2 linked regions of the Neurospora crassa OR74A genome follow. The protein of the gene in region 1 purifies or fractionates together with the protein of each later gene. This does not show direct contact. Links are inferred from orthologs where the notes say so. Each region holds a gene or a part of one and is shown in the gene's direction. Other genes may lie near its edges.

Region 1 (10,874 bases):
CGGACCCCGGCCGGCCGCCAGGCGGGCCTCCCGGACCCTAGCTCCTTGCCAGCCATTCATTCTTGGTCTGCGGATGAACAACACCCACCGCCCGAGCCCCGAGTCCCCCGACACCGACTCGAGAACGAATGGAACGAATCGACGACACCCGGAAACGAAACGGCCTTTTCTAGCGTAGCATAAAGTGAGCCCCTAGCCATAGCGACACCCACCCACCGACGTTGTCGTCGTCGACTGGTGCTTGCATACAGCCGACCGGCCCATGCATCCATACATGCATGCATACAAAAAATTTGGAATCGCGGTGAGCAGAATTTGCCCTGCAAGTACATACCCAGATCACTGTGTGATGTAGGCCTATCTCTCTGCCCCGGCAGGCAGGCAGGCCGTACGAACGTTACCGGATCCAGACTACGCAGTATAAGCACCGTATCGTCCATCGTCGTCGTTTGGTCTCGTGGAGTCGTGGAAGATTGCCATACCTCTACTCCCCACTTCTCGCGTTCCTGGGTACTATTCCCTACCAACCAGATGATGGTAGATGGGGTTTGTGATGCGGTGTTCTATATGTACTACTTCGGCCTTGCTCGTTCGAAACTTTCAAAGCGGCGTAACATTTGATGTACCTGGTCTTGCTGAAGATGGGATGATATCGACGGTGAGAACGATGAGCGATGATGATGACGACGACGACGACGACGACGCCGGTAACAATAATCACAAAAGATTAAGTCCGACGACCTACCTAAGCCCGGCAATGTTTCTCCATGCTTCAACTCGAAGGAAATGCTTTCTCAATTGTTCTTCATCCTTCATATCACATGCTTCATACCCTCGCCCCCCCACTCTTGTTTCTCCCTTTCTCCTCATCCCGACCCATATTCTGTTCTGTTGCCTTATGCTATTCCATGTTATGTTATGCCTATTTTCATGTCATGTTATGTGTGTTATGCCCTGTCCAGGAACCCTCCGTAATCCATTTTTACCCCATCCCGCCGCCAATCATCATTTCACCAAAGAAGAGACTTGCCTGGACTCCTACCCAAAGAATCGGTACAGTACATACAGATGGAACCGCGGAACCGCGGCCTTGCCTAACCTTGGAGAGGAAGTCCCGAGCACCACCAGTCACCACAACAAGTTAGATACATACTACAACACTACGCATCTTTTGAGGGTTCAAAGCGGAGTTTTCGGAGTTCCCGGGGACCTGGGTCAACAAGTGGGCGATGGGCGGTGGGCGCGCGCGCGCGCGCCCTGGTTTCCTATGGTAGTATTTAGTGTCTGGGTAGCATACCCTGGGGCTAGATGTTCCACGCGACCAGGGCCAAAATTTCTCGCTTGACCTACGGTGTCGACTCGGGCGAAAAGAAAAAGAAAAAAAAAGAAAAGAAGAAAAAAAATCCCACGGTGAGACCTGGATGGATGGATGGATGGATGGATGGACCCCGAGGAAGATGAAATGGAACGTTCGGAAAGCTTGGCCACGTGATTGTTGTGGCCTGGCCGCCTGACTTTTTGAGACGGCCTAGCTTCTCCCCGAGAGAACTCAACGGTGAACTGGGCGGTGGACGGATATCCGAGAGGGAGTGTAGTGTAGTGTAGGGTAGTGTATACCCTGCAGAGATGTGGTCCCGTGATAGACTGGGTAATTTGCTGTGTGGACAAGGCGGTACAGGCAAAACAGGACAAGATGAACACGGAGCATTGAGAGCATGAGTGAGTGGTGACTAGGTAGATAGCGAGATCCATCCATGAGGGCTCTATGCAAATTAGAGCCACATATGTACTACATTGTGGCCCTTGATGTTGTATTGACTTCTTTGAGGGGGAGTATGGTGGTCTCGAGAGATAGGTGTGGCAATCAGAAAGACTCTAGTGGCTGACAGTCTGGAGCATACACTCTGAGAGTCGATATTGCCTGTATCAGAATTGAATTTGCCTAGGCTTTACGAGTCAGTGCAATATATGGGTTGTGTGGTTACATGTGTTCTATAGAGCCGTTATATAGGAAGGTGAAGGGGGGAAACGCGACATGAAGAGTGAGTTGATCAAGTCCTTTCAGAAAAGAATAGCTAGAGAGTGGAAAGACTTTTTTCACCTCAAGACACACAAAGAGTGTGGTTGATTCGGCTGAGAGTATTCAATCCTCGAAGCGAATGCTCAATCCAATATACAACTTATCTTGTTCAGCCATAGATGATTAGGGTCAAGCTGGAAGATAGAAAAGTGAGAAAAGGGCACAGAGGTGATATCAAGATATAGACACATGAAGGTGACAACTCGTCAATCACTTCAGATCTCTACTTCCATTCAGTGACCATTTCCATACTCAACAGGTGATAACTACTTACAGGTCACGAATCATTGACTATCACAACCGAGTGTTCAGTATTTGTGATATATCCAAGATTGACAATGATTAGAACAAGGGACAAACTCGCAACTGGGTGACATCAGTTCTATGCCATCCTCGTGCTGAGCACATCAGATAGCCGGTGGCCGCCATATGTTCAATGATACTGAGGGTATCCAATGAAGCGATGAGTGCTTTCGGGGGTTTTACATTTTGCTTGTGTTACATTGTATTGTACAAGTGACCATCTTCAGTCGACATCATCTTCAACATCCTTATTTTTCATCACCTTCCTGTACCTCCGAATCACCGCCGGATCCCTCGTAAACACAATATCAAATACGCCCATCTCTTCAGCGGCTTGGGCAAGGATATTATTCACCGCACTCCTCTCCGCGTTTTGAGCATGCGCCTTGACCAAGACCAGCTCTTCAAAGACGGCACAAAGCTGGTTGTCCTTCTCCTGCGTCGTCATCTTGGCAGGGTCGCCTCCAAGGTCGGCGAAAACTTGCGTGTGTTTTCGGATCAAGCTTTCTATCAGTCTGCTGGCTTCCATGATGCGGTCCATGTTGCGCTTGCTCTGTACCCGAAGAGTAGCGGTTCCCGCCGCCAGCTCGATGAGCAGCTGCTCGGGCGGCGAGTAGCTGAACAGCTCCTTCATGGTTCGGGCAGCGACAATCATGCCGGCATGATCCTTGGCCTTGAGCATGGAGAAGAGAACGGTACGGGGGAGGTACGTATACTCGTCAACCGAGTCGAATTTCCAATCCATCTTGACCAGGTCCTGAAAGAACTGCCGGCCAATGACGGCGTCATCTGCCGTCAATTTGTTGTCTCGCCTCACCACGCGGTTCACTGAAAGAGTATTGTAAAGAGCGATGAAGGTGTGTGCATCAGGACGCACGTGCCGTTTCTTGGTCATTTGCTCGTAGAAATCGATGGCCTCTTGCGGCCCCTTGCTCTCGGTATACGACTTGATGATCTGGTTTATCATGAAGCTGTTGGGGCCAAGTTCTGCCAGCTCGAACGCTGTCCACAGTTCCTCGAGCTCATCGTGCAGGCCACGAGCGCTGTAATTCTCGGCAAGAAGAGAAAATGTTTCGACTGTAGCTCTTGTGGTGCAAATGTAATCATCCGATGTTGGTTCTCCGTCACGGGGTACGAGCCGAATTGGCCGGTCCATCGCGGCGGCTCTCCGACGCAGGTCGACGAAGTCCAGACGGGCTTTGATCATGGCCCAAGCCAACTGGTCAGCCTTCTCTACGTTATCAGCAGTTTCTGTCCTGAGCCAAGCGCCTACCAGGCCGTTGAGCTGGATGGGCGAGGCGGCAACTCCCTTTTTTTGTAGGAACGTAACCACTTTGTAGGCTCCGTCGAGGTCTCCTGCTCCTATTAGCCTCTTCAGCCATTTGCCGAGGAAGAAGTGGTTGCCGACGATGGTCGGTAGTCTGGTCTTGCCGCGAATATCCATGGGACCCGAGAACATCATGTCGACAAAGGCCTGCAGCGCATGTTCGATGTGATTTACCGCCAAAAAGCAAGCGATAACTTCATCGTAGTCCTCGATCTGCATGGTGTCTCCGAGAAGCGCTCGCATATCCCTGTACACTTCCCACGCTTCCTCGACGTTTTCCTCCTTTGCTGCCAAAGCCCGGACGATGGGTATCATGATGCGCGGGTTAGGCGATTCTGAGGACTTGAGAAGAGTATCCGCAGCTCTCATCGCGCGGTCGGTATCTCCGTGGAGACTGCACATGCGTACTCCCAGCTCATAGTACCCTTTGAATGTTTCTGGTTTGGAGCCGATGGTGACCACGGCTTTCTTCCACGCTTCGATAGCCTCCTCTTGCCAGCCTTCGAGAAACATGGCCTCAATCGCAAGAAGCTGTTGCGAGTCTCTCAGCACCACCCCCGCAGCTTGCATGTCCTTCGCCAAAACGTAGATGTGATGCATCCGGTTCGGATTTTCTACGCCTTCCCCTTCGTGTGACAAAATCATCCACAGAAAATCCCACACCTCGCGCGGCACGTTGGTCCATTGGGTGGCTAATGAACTGCGTGCTGCAGAGTAGTACTTCCAGCAGTCGAACAGGTCTTTCGGCTTGGGGACGCCGCCCTTGACGACGCTGTCGCGCGCAAGGAAGGAGTTCAAGTTGGCTACGGCTCGCTGCCGCACTCCGCTGAAGCCTGGAATGCGCAGTACGCCGTATGACTCGCCTTCTGGACCCGTCTTGCCCTTGTATTTCTCCCTGAGAATCTTTTTGAACTGTTTTCGTAGCTCCTCAGCCTTGTCCTGTTCGGAACCCCCGACCTTCTCCAGGCTATCGAGCATTTGTATTGTCTGGACCATTTTCTGCTCCAAGTCGTTAATGGCCTCGGAAATCTCGCTATCGATGCCGCCACTAACGGCGCCAAACTCGGCACCGTCGCGCAGCTGTCGGTATTGCCCTTCGGTCTCTTCGTTGAAGTAGTTGACCGCAAGGGGTTCGGTTGGACCTTCGTCGGTGTCGGTGGGTTCTCCCTTCTGCGCCTCCCGTAGGAGGGCTTCTTGGAACCTCTGTGCTTGCTCTTCCTCCAGCTGCTTAGTCGTCGTTGGCGCACGTTGTCTGCGAGCGGCGCGGGCCGCACTCGAAGCGTTTCTCGTCAGCCATGGCTGTGGATTTGGGCGGGCTCGTCCTATGCTAGCGATGCATGACTGGCAAACATAGCTGCTTGTTCGACTCAATTCAAGCGCAAATGCTCGGGGAGGCATCGGTGGTTGTTTCGTGTGTCGGGTGGGCTATGGCAGTGTGCTGTAAAGAATGAAGAAAATCATGAGGAGCAATGAAAGAGTTGGAGATGTGGAAGCCAGGTAGAACTGCGGAGGTAGAAGGATTGTGGTGAACTGGAACTTGAAGGTGTGTTCGTCAACTTTTCGTGATGGCGAGAAGCCGGCAACACTTTGTCCTACAGCAGCACGTCCTGGAAGGAACAGCGGCCATCATCGCCCCACCATGCGCTTGCTGCCGCTGTGACTTTTTCTTATCACGCCCCTGCAGTTCCTTATCGACGCGCAGCTCCTGTCGAATAAGTCTTAGGTACCATTTCACCGCCCGGCAGAAACAGCGGGATCCTCCAAAAATTCTGGAGAAAAGCGAATTGGAACGGGGAGACCTGCAGCGCTCGCAAAGGAGCTTTCCAATTCAGAATCATTCGCCATTAAAACCGCGACATACCCATTCATCCATCACCGACGACCACTGCCCGACGAGTTGGGGCGCGATCGCCTACGAAGAATTCAAAAGACTAGGAAATTACACTTTCACACGACTGAGCCCAGGACAGCGTGAAACCAACGACCTGACAACCGCCACCATGTCGGGCGAGAAAACCGACTTCATTCGCTTTACGGGGCACCGCGCCTTCACGCACCGGATCGTTCTCTCGACCCTTACCGGCCGCCCAGTGCACATTTCCAAGATCCGCAGCAGCTCGGCCACACATCCAGGTCTTGCGCCCCACGAAGTCTCCTTCCTGCGCCTTATCGAGGCCATCACCAACGGCTCCGTCATCGATGTCTCGTATTCGGGCACCACCATTACATACCAGCCCGGTTTGATCACCGGCACGGTCGCGGGCGTCAACGCCGGCGCCGTTGGCGACGTAGTCGAGCACACCCTGCCCGCCAACAACACGCGCGGCATCACCTACTTCCTCCTCCCGCTTGCCCTACTCGCGCCCTTCTCCAAAGCCCACATGAACGTCCGCTTCACTGGCCCCGGCGTCATCACCTCGGCCACCCACCTGACCGGCGACATTTCGGTTGACTCCTTTCGCACGGCCGTGCTCCCGTTGTATGGAATGTTCGGCATCCCGCCAGCGCGCATCGAGCTGCGCGTGCTCTCGCGCTCTTGTTCCGGCCCCGGCGGCCGTGGCGGTGGCGGCGTGGTCGAGCTTCGCTTCGCCAGTCAGGTTCGCCTGCCCAAGACACTGCATCTGAATCGGCGCCCCGGCAGGATACGGCGGATTCGCGGCGTGGCGTATTGCACGGGCGTGTCGGCCAGCCACAACAACCGCATGATCACGGCGGCGCGCGGCGTGCTCAACCAGCTGGTCTCGGACGTGCACGTGGCCGCGCAGTACGACCCGGCGCCGCTGGTCGGCGACAAGAGTGGTGCCAAGAAGAAGATCGGTATCGGTTTTGGCCTCAGCTTGGTGGCGGAGTCGAGCGCGGACGGCGTGCTTTACTCGGCTGATGTGGTAGCGCCGCCCGAGGGTGGTGTCGTGCCCGAGGATATAGGCGCAAGGTGCGCGTACCAGCTGCTGGAGGTTATCGCACAGGGAGGTTGCGTCAGTAACGTATCGGCACCGACCTTGCTTACACTGATGGCAATGGGATCGGAGGATGTGGGTCGCCTCAGGTTAGGCAGGGAAGTATTGGCTAGGGAGGAGACAATAGGGCTAGCACGAGACTTGAAGAAATTCGGAGCGGCCAGCTGGGGCATAAGGGATGTCGACGATGACGGTGAGACGACTGATCTAGTAGTCTCGGTCAAGGGTACGGGCGTTGGTAATGTGGGAAGGAAGGTAGCGTAAAGAATTATAAACCGGATGCTTTCTTTTTTGTTGCATGTTCAAGCTCTGTTAGGTCATACTTTTGCTGTATCAAATTCGCTTTCGTGGGTCTCGGCACTAAGTATTAGTGTGTACAAATGCTTTTCCATCATATCCCCCGTCTGGCCGCTCTATTCGTAATCCCAGCAATTCCTCTAACTCCCCGGTTGCCAGCAACGGCGGCCGCATGGAAACCAATGCTTTGGACCGTGTAAGCCGCAGCCGTCTGGTAGTCATTCCCTACCGTACGTATGGCGTGTACCGGATGAAAGCTACCCACACTGGCATTGCCTGACCTCATCACGTCAAACAAGTCTATGCCGGCAGATGCTGGAGAATAGTTGGACCCCAGCCGCTGTTCATCATCCTGCCCCTGACCGCCACGGCTTTCTGCCACCAGGCGGTCTGTTTCGGTCCCTTCTCCATCGCCTAGAGCCATCTCATCTTCCCTATTCACGCCCCGTTCTTCCGCATCCAAAGTCTGGGAAGTCTCCGGCTGGCGCACGCCGTCGCTACCTGATGCCCCCGTCTGCTGTCCAACCTGACCGGGACCAGCCCAGAGAGGTTGTAAGGAGGGATTCACAACCTTGCGCAGCTTCTCCCGCTCCGTATGGATAGCCAACATCAAGCACTGGATAGCCAGTATCACCGCATCGAAGAACAAAGGACCTAGCCTCGTCGTTGGTGGCTTCTGCCCAACGAAGTCGACTATCACGCCCCCGTGTAGATACCCGCGCGTCGCTTCGCCGGCGACTGGTGGTGCAGAGATGATGTGTGCAAGGATGCATATCAAATTCGGTCCGAGGATGGCAAAGACATGGGGACGTTCGGCCGGTAGAAGGACGGGACCCTCTTTCGGGGTAATGAACATGAAGTGTGGAATGATGCGTACGAATAGACGGAGAAAGGAACATCTGTGATGCGAAGAGACATTGAGGTCATTCGTTAGTCATTGGCTATGTTATGCAAAGGATCTAAAGGAAGTGGCTGCTATCGTACTCCATATAGTATAATGTGCAGAGATAGGCAAAGTAGATCATGTCGAGATTTCTCTGCAGGTGGCTCATGAACTGTAGCTTCTTCTTCAGGCCCAATTTGCGCTTCTCCTCCCGTGACGTCTGGTCATCATCATCATCATTATCATCATGAGCGCTGCCGTTCAGCTCCGTGGACCGCTCGTGGTTGTCATTGCGCCGGCTGCCATCCTCGTTTGCATTGTGTGGCGGGATGTGCTGCTGCTGCTGCTGCTGCTGCTGCTGCTGCTGCTCCTGCTCCTGCTGCCGGGCCGCGAAGCTCGGCTCGGAATCATCGTTCATAGCTCGCCGTGGTTTGAGAGGAAGGGTGATCGTTGGCGCATTCAAGAGCTGTGGGTAATAAAAGCTTTCAGCGGCTGTTTGAGCCTCACATATCTGGGTCTATGATTGATTGACGTCAAGGGGGGCCGGCAAACAGAATGTTCATCGAGTAGTAGAAAGCAAATGTGATGATCACGAAGGCGGCAACGAGATGGAGAATGCGCGATGCATTTCACTTCGATGGGCAGCTGTCATCAAGGTCGCCAAGGATGTGCGTGGTGCTGTAGCCTGCCACTGAGGTGCCCCTGCCTCAGCTGTCAGCGACTCAGCGTCACAACAAATGAAGGGACCACAACAGCGAAGGGGAGGGTTGGAGGGGATGCACGCAGCGGCCTGTGCTCATTGGCATGCCAAGACCGACCAGCTGGCTGAGTTCCGGTCCCCGCTGTCGGCCGGGCTTGGGCCGGTGCCGTGGCTTTCGTTCGCCGGAATCCACGCACTTGAGCCCGGAAGCCGCGGGCGGAGGAGGACGGGCCTGGACTCCCATGGTGCAACCGTGAACCTGAGTGGGGGTTACCCCCGCTCCATCAGAGCCCCGGCCTGGGCGCTTGGGGTGACAGACTTGACATCATGGGTGTCTCCAGAAAGGGGAATGTGAAATTTGGTTTGGAGATGGACATTCGCAGTCGATGTCCAGTTTTGTATCTGAGTCACAGCTCAGGATGGACAGTACATAGTGTTCTTCCAATGAGAGGTCTCGACTTACACAAGTGGAAGCTCAAGGGTCTGCCAGGAACCACACTTCCAAACTCCATGTGCGCCCATCCCCCATGTTCATTCACGGCGTGAGTGAAGAAGGAATAAGCTTGCGGATTCTGGAATACTAGTAGTACACCATAGGCCCCCGAAGTACTGTGAGATCATAGGATGGGGTGAGTAATTTGACTTGTGAGCTAGCAGAGCTGATATTAGTGTAGTAAGGTTCCAGTGCTACAGCCGTCGAAACCCGGTCCATGAGTCAAAGTCGCAGGCGGCTTTACTGGCATTGGGAATACAGCGAAGGATCTGAGCTCTTTCGGGAGCAGGCGGATTTGAGCTCTTTCGGGAGCTGGCCGAGGAGAAAATGTCAAGAGGTCAGCATCGGCGAGGCGCTTCGAATTGACTCAGCCGCATGGACACGTCAAAAGCGAGAGATTGATTTTGAAGATCACCAACAAGACCGGCATCGAGGCGTCAACTATCGCCGAATAGACTGGGGCCGCGATGACTCAGCCAATCATGAAACGCGTGAATTTCCTCTCCCCGCCAAAAAGTCGCAGCTCGAAGGGCAATTGGCCAATAACATGTCAGTTACGGCCAATTCAGCCAGTTTCACCGCCAAGGTACATAGTAGTCAAAAATTTGGCGGGGTTTGGGCGTCCAAAAGACAAACCAAACTCGGAGGTTGGAGGTCGTGGGTACCTACTAACCATTGACTCGGTACTAGCCGTCTCCAGTGCCGTCCCGGGAGCTTGTGCCTGTTTTGGGGCCATGGCGTGCATGAGCGAACATCGGACAAACGCTCAACCGACTTCAGATGACACATAGAGCCTGGGGAATAGTAGTGATGTTGTTAGATAGACCGCGCCCGACATGTTGTTATTTTGGCAGGCAAAGTGGCTAGGTAACGAGAAAGTCTCAAGTCTGCCACAAGACACTGATCTAGGATCGCCAGTAGGTGAGCTTAAAATCGGATAAGAATGGGAGGGGGATCTGGCAAGATGCGATGACTGCCCATGCGAGCATCGCAGATCCATGTACATATGCCAGTCAGGTCCCGCACTTCTCGACCGCAGAGGATTCCGGGTCCGCTTCCGTTGTCGGAAGCTACCCAAGCTGGCCCGCGGCCTATCTTGAAAATTTTCCAACAATCCGTCGTCACTTGTTCCCAACCCGCCAGTGCCCGCCATTGCCCCCGGCAAAGGGTGGCGGATGCGCAGAAGAGCGACTCCATTCAGGGCCTCATCGTCGATTGTTCTGTTTGGTGAAAGAGCAAAAGAGTCACAGCCGCCCACCAACAAATCTGGAACCCACCCTGCCGCCGGCCCCGCACATCTCTTATCGGCGCTCCCCACAGCGGCCGGTTTTGGGAATTATTTGTCTCTCTTGTCCCTCTTTCCGTCCAACTTCTCCAGTTTCTTCTCCACTGAAATTAAAAGCGCGAAATTCCGAAAACACGGACGGGAGACTCGAGATTGAGTCAACTGGTCAGGATCCGGGGTCAACAGCTACGTCGTTGTCAGGACTTGTTTGTTGATATACAAGACATCGGCCCCCCGAGACCCTCACGAGGCCTTTCTTGGTCTTTCTTTAATTTTCTTCCACAAACACCTCCCTCCATTGGACATAATGCTGTCGACCGTGCACAAGGCTGGCCGAGCTCCTGCTCTCCTCCGCCATGGTCGGCGGGTTCCCGTCCAGGCGTCCCAATTGAGGGCTCTCACCTCCGGCGCCCAGAATACCTCCATCTTCCAGACACAGGCCAACGCCGCCCAGAGGCTGTCCTCCCAGAAGAGGTGGCTCTCTGCCTCCGCTGCCGCGGCTGCTGCCAGCCAGCCCGCCCCCGACGCGAAGGCTTATATCCAGAGCGG
Region 2 (11,614 bases), about 2.9 Mb from region 1:
AAGACTTCTAATGACCTTCTTTTTGTCTGTTGATCCGTTACCGTCCAGCTCCTCCTCGTTCTTCTCCGGGAAGTCACCGCCCTGTGTATCAATGAAAATCAGTGGCTCGGTGGTGTCGTCATTGGCCTCCACCCCCTCGTACGGCAAGTCCTTGAGCAAGCGCTCCCTGACATGCTCGGCCGCCACCAGCTTAGACTCGTAAAGCTCGTCCGACGGGAACCGCATAATCTTCTCGTGCATACGGTACTGCGTGGTAAGCATCCTCTTGATTGAGGGGCCATGCAGGGTCAGTAGTCTGTCAAACAGTGTCGTCTCCAGCGTCTGGCCCTCCTTCTTCTCCTTTGTAGTGGCAGCCCTCGAGTTCAACGATTTGATTGTCGGCGGCAGCTGCAAGTGATCACCAGCCAACACCGCCTTCTTCGCCCACAGCAGGGGCACCCAACACTGTGCCTCCAGTGCTTGGCTTGCCTCGTCGATGATCACCACGTCAAACTCCTCGTTCTTAAGCTGGTATCCCCCCGCGCCATGCAGTGTCGCCAGCACAACTTTGCTCCTGCCTACCAGGTCGCTCACGCATCGCCGCTCCCGCTCACGGTACTCCTTGCGCAGCTCCTTCAGCTCTGCGTAGATGGCTCGGCGCTCGCGACCATTGCGCGTCTTGCGGATCGAGGCCTGCTTGGCGTCCATCTCGGCGCGCACGTCTTTGACGATGGCCCCGGCGTCCGAGGTCGTGGTGAGAATGTCGAGCGAGTGCGAGAGGACGGAGGGGAGAAGGCGGGCTGGATGGCCGAGGCGGAGGATGGGCAGTTTGTGTGGCGAGAGTCGCTCGACGATGTTGTCGACGGAGATGTTGGAGGGACCGCAGACGAGGATACGGAGGTCTCGGCGGAGGAGTTGGAGGATTAGTTCGATCAGAGTGTGTGTTTTGCCAGTCTGTAATGGTGGATTAGACATATAAGCGACTGACTGCGGGGAGGGAACGTATAAACATACCCCGGGAGGACCATGGATGAGAGCTATCTCCCTCGATGCTAGTGCAAACCTAATAGCATCCTTTTGTGAGTCGTTCAAAGTAGGATCAACCCAATCAATGTTGCCAACCTCTGGGTCATTAGTTAGATCCGCCGGGACAGGTGAGGGTGATGACTGTCCGAAGAGGACTCGGATGAACATGGAGTGTTCCGACTCGCTCATCTTCTGAAGCTTCTCCATGGTTCCGTTCATCCTGCAATCACCGTGTTAGCTGAGGTTTGACTGTAATCACCATCAAATTCCTGTTCCCCCAGCCTCTGTTCTCTTTTTTGGCTTTCCTCTCATCATCCACCAACCCGAATCGACCTCCTCTCCCCAACTCTCACTCTCGCATCAAATCATCGAAAGCTCACCTCCTATAAGTAACATCATCAGCCAACTTAACCATCCAAACCCTCCCACTGCCCCCCAAACCCCCCGTCCCAACTACATTCTCCTCCCCCTTATCCTCATCCAGCGCCACACCCACCACACCCCTGCCCACCCTCGTCACCACCCCCTTCGCGCCCTTCTTCTCCAATTCCCTGACCTCTCGCTTCTTTGCGCTCCCAGCCGGCTGCTCAGACACTACCACGATATCGCCCGTCCGAATTCCATGTTCTGGTAATTCCGGTCCATCATAGCCCCCACCCTTCTGGCCTGACGATGAAGAAGAAGAAGAAGAAGTGATAGTAACAGTAGCAGAATCGGGCCCGAGTTCCAACACGGTCTTTCCGCCATAGCCGGTCCGCTGGGCATTGACGACTAGGTTGGTCAGGGCCAGGCCGGCGCGCTGCAGGGCGGTGGGCGTGTGCAGCCCGATGAGCTCGGAGTTCTCAGCGATTTCGGCGGCGAGCTCGGAGGAGAGGAGGGTGAGTTGGGTGGAGGCGAAGGAGGGGATGTCGACTGTCTGTGAGGGAGCCATGCTGGTGAGTGGGTGGATGGAAAGAGTGGTGAGGCTCTTGAAATCCGGACACGAGCGGGGCCGGGAGAAGGGACTGTGGAAATGACAGAAGGCCGCGCCGCCGTTCGGTTACAGTGACTCTGTGCGTCGTTTGGCGGGTGATGGTGTATTATGCTAGACGTGTGATCGTTGGAAAAGGCGCAAAGCCCACAGTTCAGGTTGCGGTTTGGTTCAATTGAATCGCAAAATTCATGTGAGCATATTGCAGTGGTTTGTTGTCTTGACGTATTGTTCCTTTCTTGTTAGTGATTTTGGTGGAGTTGCTCGCGAACTGTTAACGATTGAACCCAACGATGCATCTAACCGTGTATTATTCGTTTTGTAAGAGAGCAAACACCTTCATATCCGCCAAAACAAAGGTCATTCTGGATGATTAATACAATTGCTACTCAACCAAACTCAATCTTTCTTATTCTCATTTTGATCTTCCTTATGCGTCCCCGTATTCCTAACACAGAACAAAGCACAAAGCGATGGTAACAATTCCTGTAGTAGTTACTGAGCCGCTCCTCTAAGACTGACCAGGCTCTCCCAAAACCCGCCATTCCGTGTCACGGTGAATAATATCGTCCCTGCCAATCGGCCTAGTCCCATCGTTCACCACAATAGCCTCGCGATTCCGATGTCTAATCCGCTGCTCCTCGGCGCTCGTCTCCTGCGCCCGCGGGGTCCTACCCATGTTAATAGAGAGCAGGAGGTTATAGCGCTCGCCGCTTGTGTCCATGAGGTTCAGGTTATCGGCCTGCTCAGCCGCGAAGTCGTCAGCCCCCTCTTGGGACATGAGACCACATCTGACCAGCACCGACCTTCCCGATCCAGTTTTGCGCACCGCATCCGCAAGCCTCTTGATCTTGTTGTCCCTGTACAGCATATAGTTGTGGAAGTTGCGCTGTCTGTCTTCCTCAGTCCTGCCCCAATTTTGCCTGGATAGCCAACGCTCAACGAACTTGGAGCGGATCAGCATCTCTGGCCCGTAATGATCGACCAGCTGCTCAAGAAAGATGAAGCACATTTTTTCGGTGATATCCCTCAATGGATAATCGTCCCATCCATCATTCTCGAGAACCTCCTGCTCCGGGTCGAGGGAGAGCTCGAGGCACCGGACTATGGCGGAGTATGCTTTCCAAGTGTGAAGCATGGGGAGAACTCCTTGAAGCCGTGTTAGTGAGTTGGAAACTTTCAAGCAGTGTTGAGATACTCACGAGGGACGCAGATGACAGCCAGAGCCCTCAAGTTCTTGACACGCTCGTCATAATCTGGACGGGTGATGCCCCAGAGCAACGTCTCCAGGAGGCCGGGGTCATTTGCAGCCCTATCACAGATTATCTTGGCAGCCGTCTCCTTGATGGCGTAGTTGTAGTGGCCCAGCAAGGTGTCCAGCGTCTTGAGCTCGAGCGAGTCCTCGGTCTGCTGCGTGATGTACTGCGTCTTTGGCGGATTGGGGGTGACAATGGTCTCGTCTCGCCATCTTGTTAGCCAGGTGTTCATGGCGAAGATGATCAAGCTCGCCGTGACGAAGCCAATGCCGGTGAAGACGACCCTCTCATCTCGGAGAACCGACGATTGCCAGCCCATAATAACGGTATGGTGATGAAAGATGATGCTTCAGCATAGGTAGTTTGACTTTTATGTGTTGTTTTCTTTTTCTTTTCATCACATCGCGACTTTGAGATTGAGACGGAACACTGAAAAAAACCAAAAATAAAAAAATAAAAAAACCATGAGCAGCCCGAGGATGACGATGGAGAGCTTCACTTCTGGTCAGTGGAGTGACACCCGCTGTAGAGCGGGACAGTCTATCCAGGTCCCAAATTTCCCACCCTAAGCATTTAGTCAAGCATGTATCCCAAGACCTTTGTACTTAACAATACATTCAACTTTTTGGATCCTCCACCAAGAAAATTGGGAATTCTTTTATCTTTGCAAGTCAAATACTGCTGGGAAACTCCTTTTCGCAACTCAGCTGGCCCAAAAGGGGGCTTTTTGGGTGAAATGCTGCATCCTGGGTTGCAGAGCACATTTGGTCGAGTGACATGTCTTGAGAACAAAAGAAGTCTGTGCACTTCCTTAAAAGGGTAAGTTTTTGGGACCTGGATAGCATCGCCCGTAGAGCTTCGTCTTTTAGCAGCTACAGTGCAGCACGGGCAGGCCAGGATGCTTCTGCTGCCCGCGCCTGTGGACAATACTACTTGTATGTAGGTAGGTAACTGCCAAGATTTTAGAGGTGGAGCATGACGATAAGATAAGCACCCTTCATCACCAAAATTTCTGAGAAGGAACCAACCGCCAAAGACAACCTATTGATTGCTGGTCTTGCGATCGAACCCGCTTCGCGACGCCCTCCCTCCCTCTTTCTTTCTCAATACTCCCCTGTCAAGTCGACAGTCGAGACATCTCAACAAACATGGCCGGGTCTCAGCTCAAGAGGCTGAAGGCCTCCCTCAAGGACCAAGGCATCATCGGTCCCCAGAGATCCAAGAAGCAAAAGCGCCAAAACGCCCAGGACGCGAAGGCTTCCACCGACAAGCGACTCCAGCGCCACGAAGCTCTCGCCAGCATCAGAGAGCAGTTCAACCCCTTCCAGTTCAAGACCAACGCCAGAGGACCCAAGTTCGAGGTCACCACCAACAAGCCCCAAAATGATAAACTCGCCAAGGGCATTCAGGGCCGCCCCGGCGTTGCGAAGGCCACCGCTGAGCAGAGGGTTTGTCGATCCCACTCAGATCGATTTACTGGTTCTGATGCTAACTGTGCCATAAACAGCGACGGGAAACTCTACTGGTTGAAATGCAGAGGCGCAACAAGGTCGGCGGCATTGTCGATAGGCGTTTTGGCGAGGACGACCCCAACATGACCCTGGAGGACAAGATGATGGAACGTTTCGCGCGCGAGCAGATGAAGAGCCACAAGAAGAACACCGTCTTCGATTTGGAGGGTTCCGATGACGAGCAAGAACAGGTCACCCTTACACACGCTGGCAAGACTCTCTTTGACGACGACGACATTGAGGCGGGTCGTGACGATTTTGACGAGGACGTTTCCGATATGGAATCCGACGATGAGCGGTCAGCCAGAAAGAAGTTCCTCAAGCGCCTGCGCGCTGAGGAAGAGGCCGCGGAAGGTGAAGGAGAGGATGGACAACCGGAGAGGAAGAAGACGAAGAAGGAAGTTATGGAGGAGGTTATCGCCAAGTCAAAGGCCTTCAAATACGTAAGGGGCACCGCTAAGCCGGCTACTTCCACTCATCAGCTAACAGTAATTGCTACAGGAACGACAAGCAGCCAAGGAGGAGGACGACGATCTAAGAGTGGAACTTGACAAGGAACTCCCAGAATTGCAGTCCCTACTCTTCCAGATGAGACCGAAGGAAACGAAGGACCCCAAGGGCCCCTCCGTTATGGCAGGAATCGACATGGACCAACTTGAGAAGGAATACAACATGCGTCTCAAGCAGGCAGCGCGTGAAGCCAGGGCCGAGGTTACCGACAGGACAAAGACCGACGAGGAGAAGGCGGAGGAAGGAGTTAAGCGTCTCAAAGAGATGGAGGAAAAGCGACTCAGGCGCATGCGGGGTGAGATCGTCTCGGATGACGAGGAGGAGGAGGAGGAGGAGCAGAAGAAGGGCAGGAAGAAGGGAGACGACCAAGAGGTACAAGACGAGGCCGACGAGGACGAATTCGGCCTCGGCAAGGGTATCAAGCTACGAATGACCGCCACCGAGATGGGTCTGGACGACGAAGACGATTTCTTGCTCGAAGACGACCTTATCGCAAGCGGCTCTGAGTTGGATATGGACGAGGACGACATGTCGGACATGGACGGGAGTGATGACGAGGATGCCTATGATCCTGATGAGGACGAGCTTGTGAATGGTGGTGAGGACGGCGAGTCGAAGGAGGTGGCCACAAAACTTCAAGCTCAGTCAAAAGGCGGCGACGAGGACGGCATACCCTATACCTTTACATGTCCCGAGAGTCACGAGCAGCTGCTGGAGATCTTGGGCAGCCTTCCCGTGGCCAAACTTCCAGTGGCTGTCCAGAGGATCAGAGCTCTTTACCACCCCAAGCTGGACGCGAAGAACAAGGAGCGCCTTGGAAACTTCTCCCGGGCCCTCATCGAGCATATCGCTTACCTTGGCGACAACTTCGAGCCCACCTGGTTCCCTACCATTGAGAACTTGATCCGCCACGTCCACTCACTCGCGAAGACCTTCCCGATCGAGATATCCAAGGCTTACAGGTCACGGCTTGAGGAGATTAAGGAGGATCGGCCCCTTGCCCTTAGCGTCGGCGACCTTATGCTTCTGACAGCGATTGGCACAACCTACCCTACTTCTGATCACTTCCATCAGGTGGTCACCCCTGCGATGCTTTCCATCACCCGTTATTTGGGACAGAAAATTCCCCAGACACTCGCCGACTACTCCATTGGTGCTTACCTTTCGATCCTCGCCCTTCAGTACCAATCCTTCTCCAAGCGTTACGTACCAGAATTTGTCAACTTCTGCCTCAACACTCTCTGCTCGCTCGCTGCTGAGAAGCCCAAGGAAAAGCTTGGTCTGTTCCCCGTTCACGAGCCCGCTGCTGGCATCCGTGTCAAGGGTGCAAGCAAGGTGACCGTCAGGAAGCTCAACTGCGGTGACTGCCAGCAGCCCAAGAGCGCTCGCTCCACCAGCGACGACTCCGCTCTGAAGGTTGCCATTATCAGCACCATCACCTCCGTTCTCAGGACTGCTTCCGAAACATGGTGCAAACTCCCCGCATTCTACGAGACCTTCCAGCCCGCCCAGCGCGTGCTCCAACACCTGACAACCAAGTCCAACGCCGCCCAGCTCCCTGCAGCCCTCGTCAAGCAGCTTAAGGACGCAACGACAAGCATCTCCCGCCTCCTCCAGCTCGCCCAGGTTTCCCGCAGGCCACTCGAGCTGCACCACCACAAGCCGCTCGCCATTAAGACGTACGTGCCCAAGTTTGAGGATTCGTTTGACCCCAACAAGCACTACGACCCAGACCGCGAGCGCGCCGAGCTGGCCAAGCTGCGGGCCGAACACAAGAAGGAGCGCAAGGGCGCACTCAGGGAGCTCCGCAAGGACGCGGCCTTCATGCAGCGCGAGAACCTCAAGGTCAAGAAGGCCAAGGACGAGGCGTACGAGAAGAAGTACAAGCGCTTGGTGGCGGAGATCCAGGGATCGGAAGGCCAGGCGGCGAACGAGTACGCAAGGGAGAAGGCGGCGAGGCTCAAGAAGAACAAGAGGTAAATGGCTACTTCTTAGAAGGTTCGGGGGTAGCAGTCGGAGTAAGTTTGTGGTTGGCCGTGTTGTTGTTAGTGCCGTTGTTGTTGCTGTCATGTATACATCATCATCAGCGTTCAGTGCAAGTGCAATATTTGGATCATGGGTTGGAGATACCATGTCTATCATATCATCTACTAGTAGGAGTTTTAAGATCATTTCATCATTTGCCAACCCTCAGTACGTACATTATCTACTCCTGATGTTGTTTACATGTGATGTTTACCCAACCCACCAATTTCATCATGGTACTCATCCCTACCTGGAACTTTCAACACTTCAACGAAACTATGTAATTCCGGTTATCGCTATTGATGGCGGAGCCTCATCTGAAGAAAAAGAAAAGAAAAAGCAAACAACAAATAACAAGAAAATGACTGAAGACAAGGAAACACAGCAGTATGGAGTTGCCCTTCGGTCGGCGTGTCCGTCCCGCGGCTATAATTCAAACAATGCCGTTCTTCAATCACTTCCCCCCCTCGTGCCACCCATACTGTACCTCCAGCGCTGGCCCAACGACTAACTACATAGTTAGTTACGACTTACGAACAATATATAAGCGACCTAAACAACTAACAACCGCCGCACGTTATCGTATAACAATATCACTGGACCCCGAAAACCCCTAACCAGCGAAATCGGCGAGAAAGTATTTCCCAGGTACTCAGGTCCCGGGCGGATGCTTGATCAGTATGTATTTTGCCCAGTCTGAACTTTGTAAACTTTCAAAGACAATCCACATCTCTTTGTGGTGGTTTCTAGACGCTATAGGCGCCGTAGACGATGGTGTTGTGTTCATCGGGGAAGTCGGGCACTCTACGACTCTTTTCATTCTTCTCTCTTTCCTTTGCTACATTCTCAATAGCACGCGCCTTTTCTTCTGAGGGGAAGAGGCAAAGAGAATCATAAGCTGATGACCTAGATTCCGCTCCAGTTGGTAGTTGGGTCGATCGGTTGGTTCCGAGTAAGATCAAGATTCCCGTCCCGTCGTCTATGAGGGTCCCCGTGTCTCCCCAGCTCCAGGTTTCCGGCGGCCGCAAAATGAGCCTCACGCACCTCTCAGTTGATCGAAGGCTGGAAGAATGGATGTCAAGGCGACATGTGTCATTGCGATCTTGACATCGATCGCATCTTTGAAGCCATGGATGACTATCGGTGATCCCGCTGTTCAGGACCGATGATTTCGGCTTGCTGTTTCAGTTGGCTGCCTCTAACTATCACCACGATCATGTGTCAAAGCTCGAAGAAGGAGGTGAAGTAATGAAAACAAAAGAAAAACAAGAAAAAAAATCCCATAACACATCAAAAAGCCAATTCGACTCCGTTCCAGCCTAGGCGCCCTCACAGATACGGCCCCCAAAAAGACAGATATGTCTGGTCCACTCCAACTGTATTCTCATACACAGCCTCTTCAAGCGCGCGCTTAGAGGCGCATGTGGATATGATCACCCCAGAGGCCTCCTGATGAGGCTCTTCCTCGGCAGTCACTCACATGATACTTTGTCAAAACGATGTATTCTTTCCTACTAGAAATCCCATCAGGGTTCACTTTTCGGCTCCCTTTTCCGAGAGCATAGTAGGTCTCAAAAGCGGGTCGCCGGGCTGTGGAAGATTGAGGCTGTGTGCAGTGTTGTTTTGACGTGGTGAGTTTACTAGTTACCTAGTGGGTTTCGAAACATCTAAACGTGCCCATTTCCGCGTATCAACAAAAATCGCCCCCACATCATTGACCGAAATGTTTGGGCAAAGGGGAGGGGACTGGGTGGAAACGGAAGTGGCCAAAGAAAGACAATGTGGCCATGAGATCCTAACGAGTTGGAAGCCATTCACGATCCGAAAACGACGAGTGGTCAAGGCTGAGCCAGAAACACAAAAAACTCCACGATATTTTTCCACAATGAGGTAGATGGACAGATATGGGTGGAAATCATGCCTTCTGCGACCTGTTGAGCTGAACAGTTAATGACATGTCGTTCCAGCCTCACCTCACGTTCATGCTATCAGACATTGTCAACTCTCTTGTTGACCGAATAGACAGACGGCTGCTGCTACTGCTGCTGCGCCTCTACATATATCCAACCAAGCTGGGATCGACCAGCTTAACCAATCCCTGGCTTGCAGTCAACGGCGAAGCCATTAGCGGCAGAGTGAGGCGCGGATACTCAACGGGAGTCGGGAACCGTACCACTAGTAGGGCGATTGCCGGGCGAATTATGACCGCCACCATGCTTCTCCTACCGTGCGGCGGCGTGCAACCTCTTATAATCCAGTTCAACAAAACCTCACTGTCCTTGTCTCGCCGCTTCGAGTCTGTGACCTTGAGGCTGTGAAGTGTCAATTTTCGAGCGGTTGGAAGTAGACAGCATCTGCAAAACTAGTATGGATGCGGCTGGGATCGACCATACCATATAGAATCCGGTAGCGAGATGCTCAGCCGTCCAGCTCCTGTGTTTCCTGGCTCAGTGAATGGTCGTCAGTTATTTAGCTGACTGGTGAACGTTTCGCTTGAAGGGTAAAAGCGGGGTGAGGATTGACTGCGCTACAGTATTCTAAACTTTAGCTGTGTGGTGCCGTGCCGTCCGTATGGACGGGAGGGCAAAGCGGGAGGCGCAAATCCAGGGGGTCTTGGTCTTTTGACTTGATTGTCCAGGAACATAAGAGAAGAGGTAATGACTGGAAAGGTTAGTAGTGATTGTTGTCCACACGGACGAGGATGCATGTTGCTTGGTCTGCTGCCAGCCCTCATGATTTTCAAATAGGACGGTTTTGGCATGTAGAGGTAGTCTTCAATCCGGTTTTCGCTGCAGGTGTCACTTATGATCCAGGTTGATGATGGTGATAATATTGCTGATAGTAGATATTGCTTGAAGCCATCACAACCTAAACCAAGCCAAATTATCGCTGAAATCAGAACCTCGGCCAAATCGACCCTTTAGCAGAGACAGGTAGGTGGAAGGCACAAAGACGAAATACCACTCAAGATGAAGTGACAACTAGGAGCTTCGTTCCTTCCCATCTTCGCATTACAGCATGCAAAGACTGCACCTCAACGGCACAGCCGAGAAGACTGACAAGGAAGTTGCAACGAAACAGCTGTTTGCAAGGAAAGTGGGAGATGCCATCCACGGGCTCAGCTTGTTCCTTGTGAAGTACTTCTTCCCCCACGAATGTTTGGGATGCGGGTGCGTGCAGTATGTATCTAGTAGATAGGAAGGTGTACGCCAAAATACCCCACCTAACCCTTCCAGGTGTTACCTAGTACACAAGGTAGAGATAGTGTGCGCTCAGATGATCTTATGCTTCGTTCCTTCTTTCCTTCTCCTCCTCTTCTCTCACTTTTGATTCTTACCTCTATTTACTCATTGGCGTTGACCGGTGAGGAAAGGCGGGTGGTGCGCGGGGTGATTGGATGGCTAGAGGTAGGTACCTGGTAGATAGTGAGTGGTTTACGGCTGAGGCGGGATGGGTGATCATTCGTCTGGAGTTGTCATTTTCGAAATGGCAATGGTCGGTCGGGATGGGGGATTGGATATAGGCTAAAACTTACGAACCACGCAAGGTCCCTCACCGGATGGAATGATATGGGAACTGTTAGTTTTACGCTTGGGAACTTTTATCTCATCGATGGAAGTTCTGACCGTCTTGGTCTTCATCCAATCCTTCCCACCACCGTTCTCGGGCTACGACGAAAGAAATAACTTACCCCCACCTAAGGAAACGCAACGCAACACATCCTGCCATTAAGGTACACACCATCAGTCATTTGTAACAACGACACCACCATCCATGTAAGCACCATGTTGCATTTTTTGCACGCTTCTCTTCTCTCTTGTGCAAACTGAGAGAAAAAAAAAACGAACGAAGCACAGCAAGCGGGACGCAATGACAATGGCATTTATAAGGACACGGGCGAAATAGACAAAAGCAGAAGGTCCCATCCGAGCAAGAACAAGAACATTGTGTCCAATGCATTGTTTGTGTTGTCTTGCATGCGGTGATGTGCAGTCGACTTCGATATCTTCCCTTCTTTTTTTTTTTTCTTTGTTTTTTTTTTTTTCTTTTTTTTCTTCTCTTCAGAACAATGCGGCAATGAACAAGCAAGTCACAAGCGAGGAGAACATAAAGTGATGAACAGTGAGTGTCGTTCTTCAACTTCATTTGATCTGTTAAAATTCTTTCCATCTTTCCTCCTTCACAGGGTATAATCCTTCCTTTCCAGCCATGACAAACCCGGCTCATAGTTCAGTTACATACGTTTTTCCCCCTCCCGCCCACAAATCCGTGGTACCCTTTCCGGTCAGCCATGGGTATGCTACCGCCCTTAAAACTCCATGTGATATGCAAATCCA

Evidence for each region.
Region 2: the proteins of NCU02675 (region 1) and NCU07393 purify together in Saccharomyces cerevisiae (affinity purification with mass spectrometry, with the first as the bait; 3 studies listed by BioGRID). This does not show direct contact. The link is inferred for Neurospora crassa OR74A from reciprocal best matches to the Saccharomyces cerevisiae genes RCL1 and NOP14.

Annotation. Positions count from the first base shown.
Region 1 is NC_026501.1:3,160,206-3,171,079, forward strand, and holds NCU02675 (RNA-3'-phosphate cyclase), read left to right. Parts: upstream 1-5,510; 5' UTR 5,511-5,710; coding exon 5,711-6,931; 3' UTR 6,932-7,026; downstream 7,027-10,874. Other genes in the region: NCU02674 (hypothetical protein), read right to left, coding at 2,607-5,108; NCU02676 (hypothetical protein), read right to left, coding at 7,059-7,863, 7,949-8,265; arg-3 (carbamoyl-phosphate synthase large subunit), read left to right, coding at 10,633-10,874. UniProt on the Saccharomyces cerevisiae protein: Does not have cyclase activity. Plays a role in 40S-ribosomal-subunit biogenesis in the early pre-rRNA processing steps at sites A0, A1 and A2 that are required for proper maturation of the 18S RNA. RCL1 activates BMS1 by promoting GDP/GTP exchange.
Region 2 is NC_026501.1:6,083,420-6,095,033, forward strand, and holds NCU07393 (rRNA maturation protein), read left to right. Parts: upstream 1-4,276; 5' UTR 4,277-4,379; coding exon 4,380-4,679; intron 4,680-4,738; coding exon 4,739-5,185; intron 5,186-5,243; coding exon 5,244-7,232; 3' UTR 7,233-8,979; downstream 8,980-11,614. Other genes in the region: NCU07395 (DNA-binding protein SMUBP-2), read right to left, coding at 1-1,225, 1,386-1,936; NCU07394 (hypothetical protein), read right to left, coding at 2,487-3,124, 3,178-3,550. UniProt on the Saccharomyces cerevisiae protein: Involved in nucleolar processing of pre-18S ribosomal RNA. Has a role in the nuclear export of 40S pre-ribosomal subunit to the cytoplasm.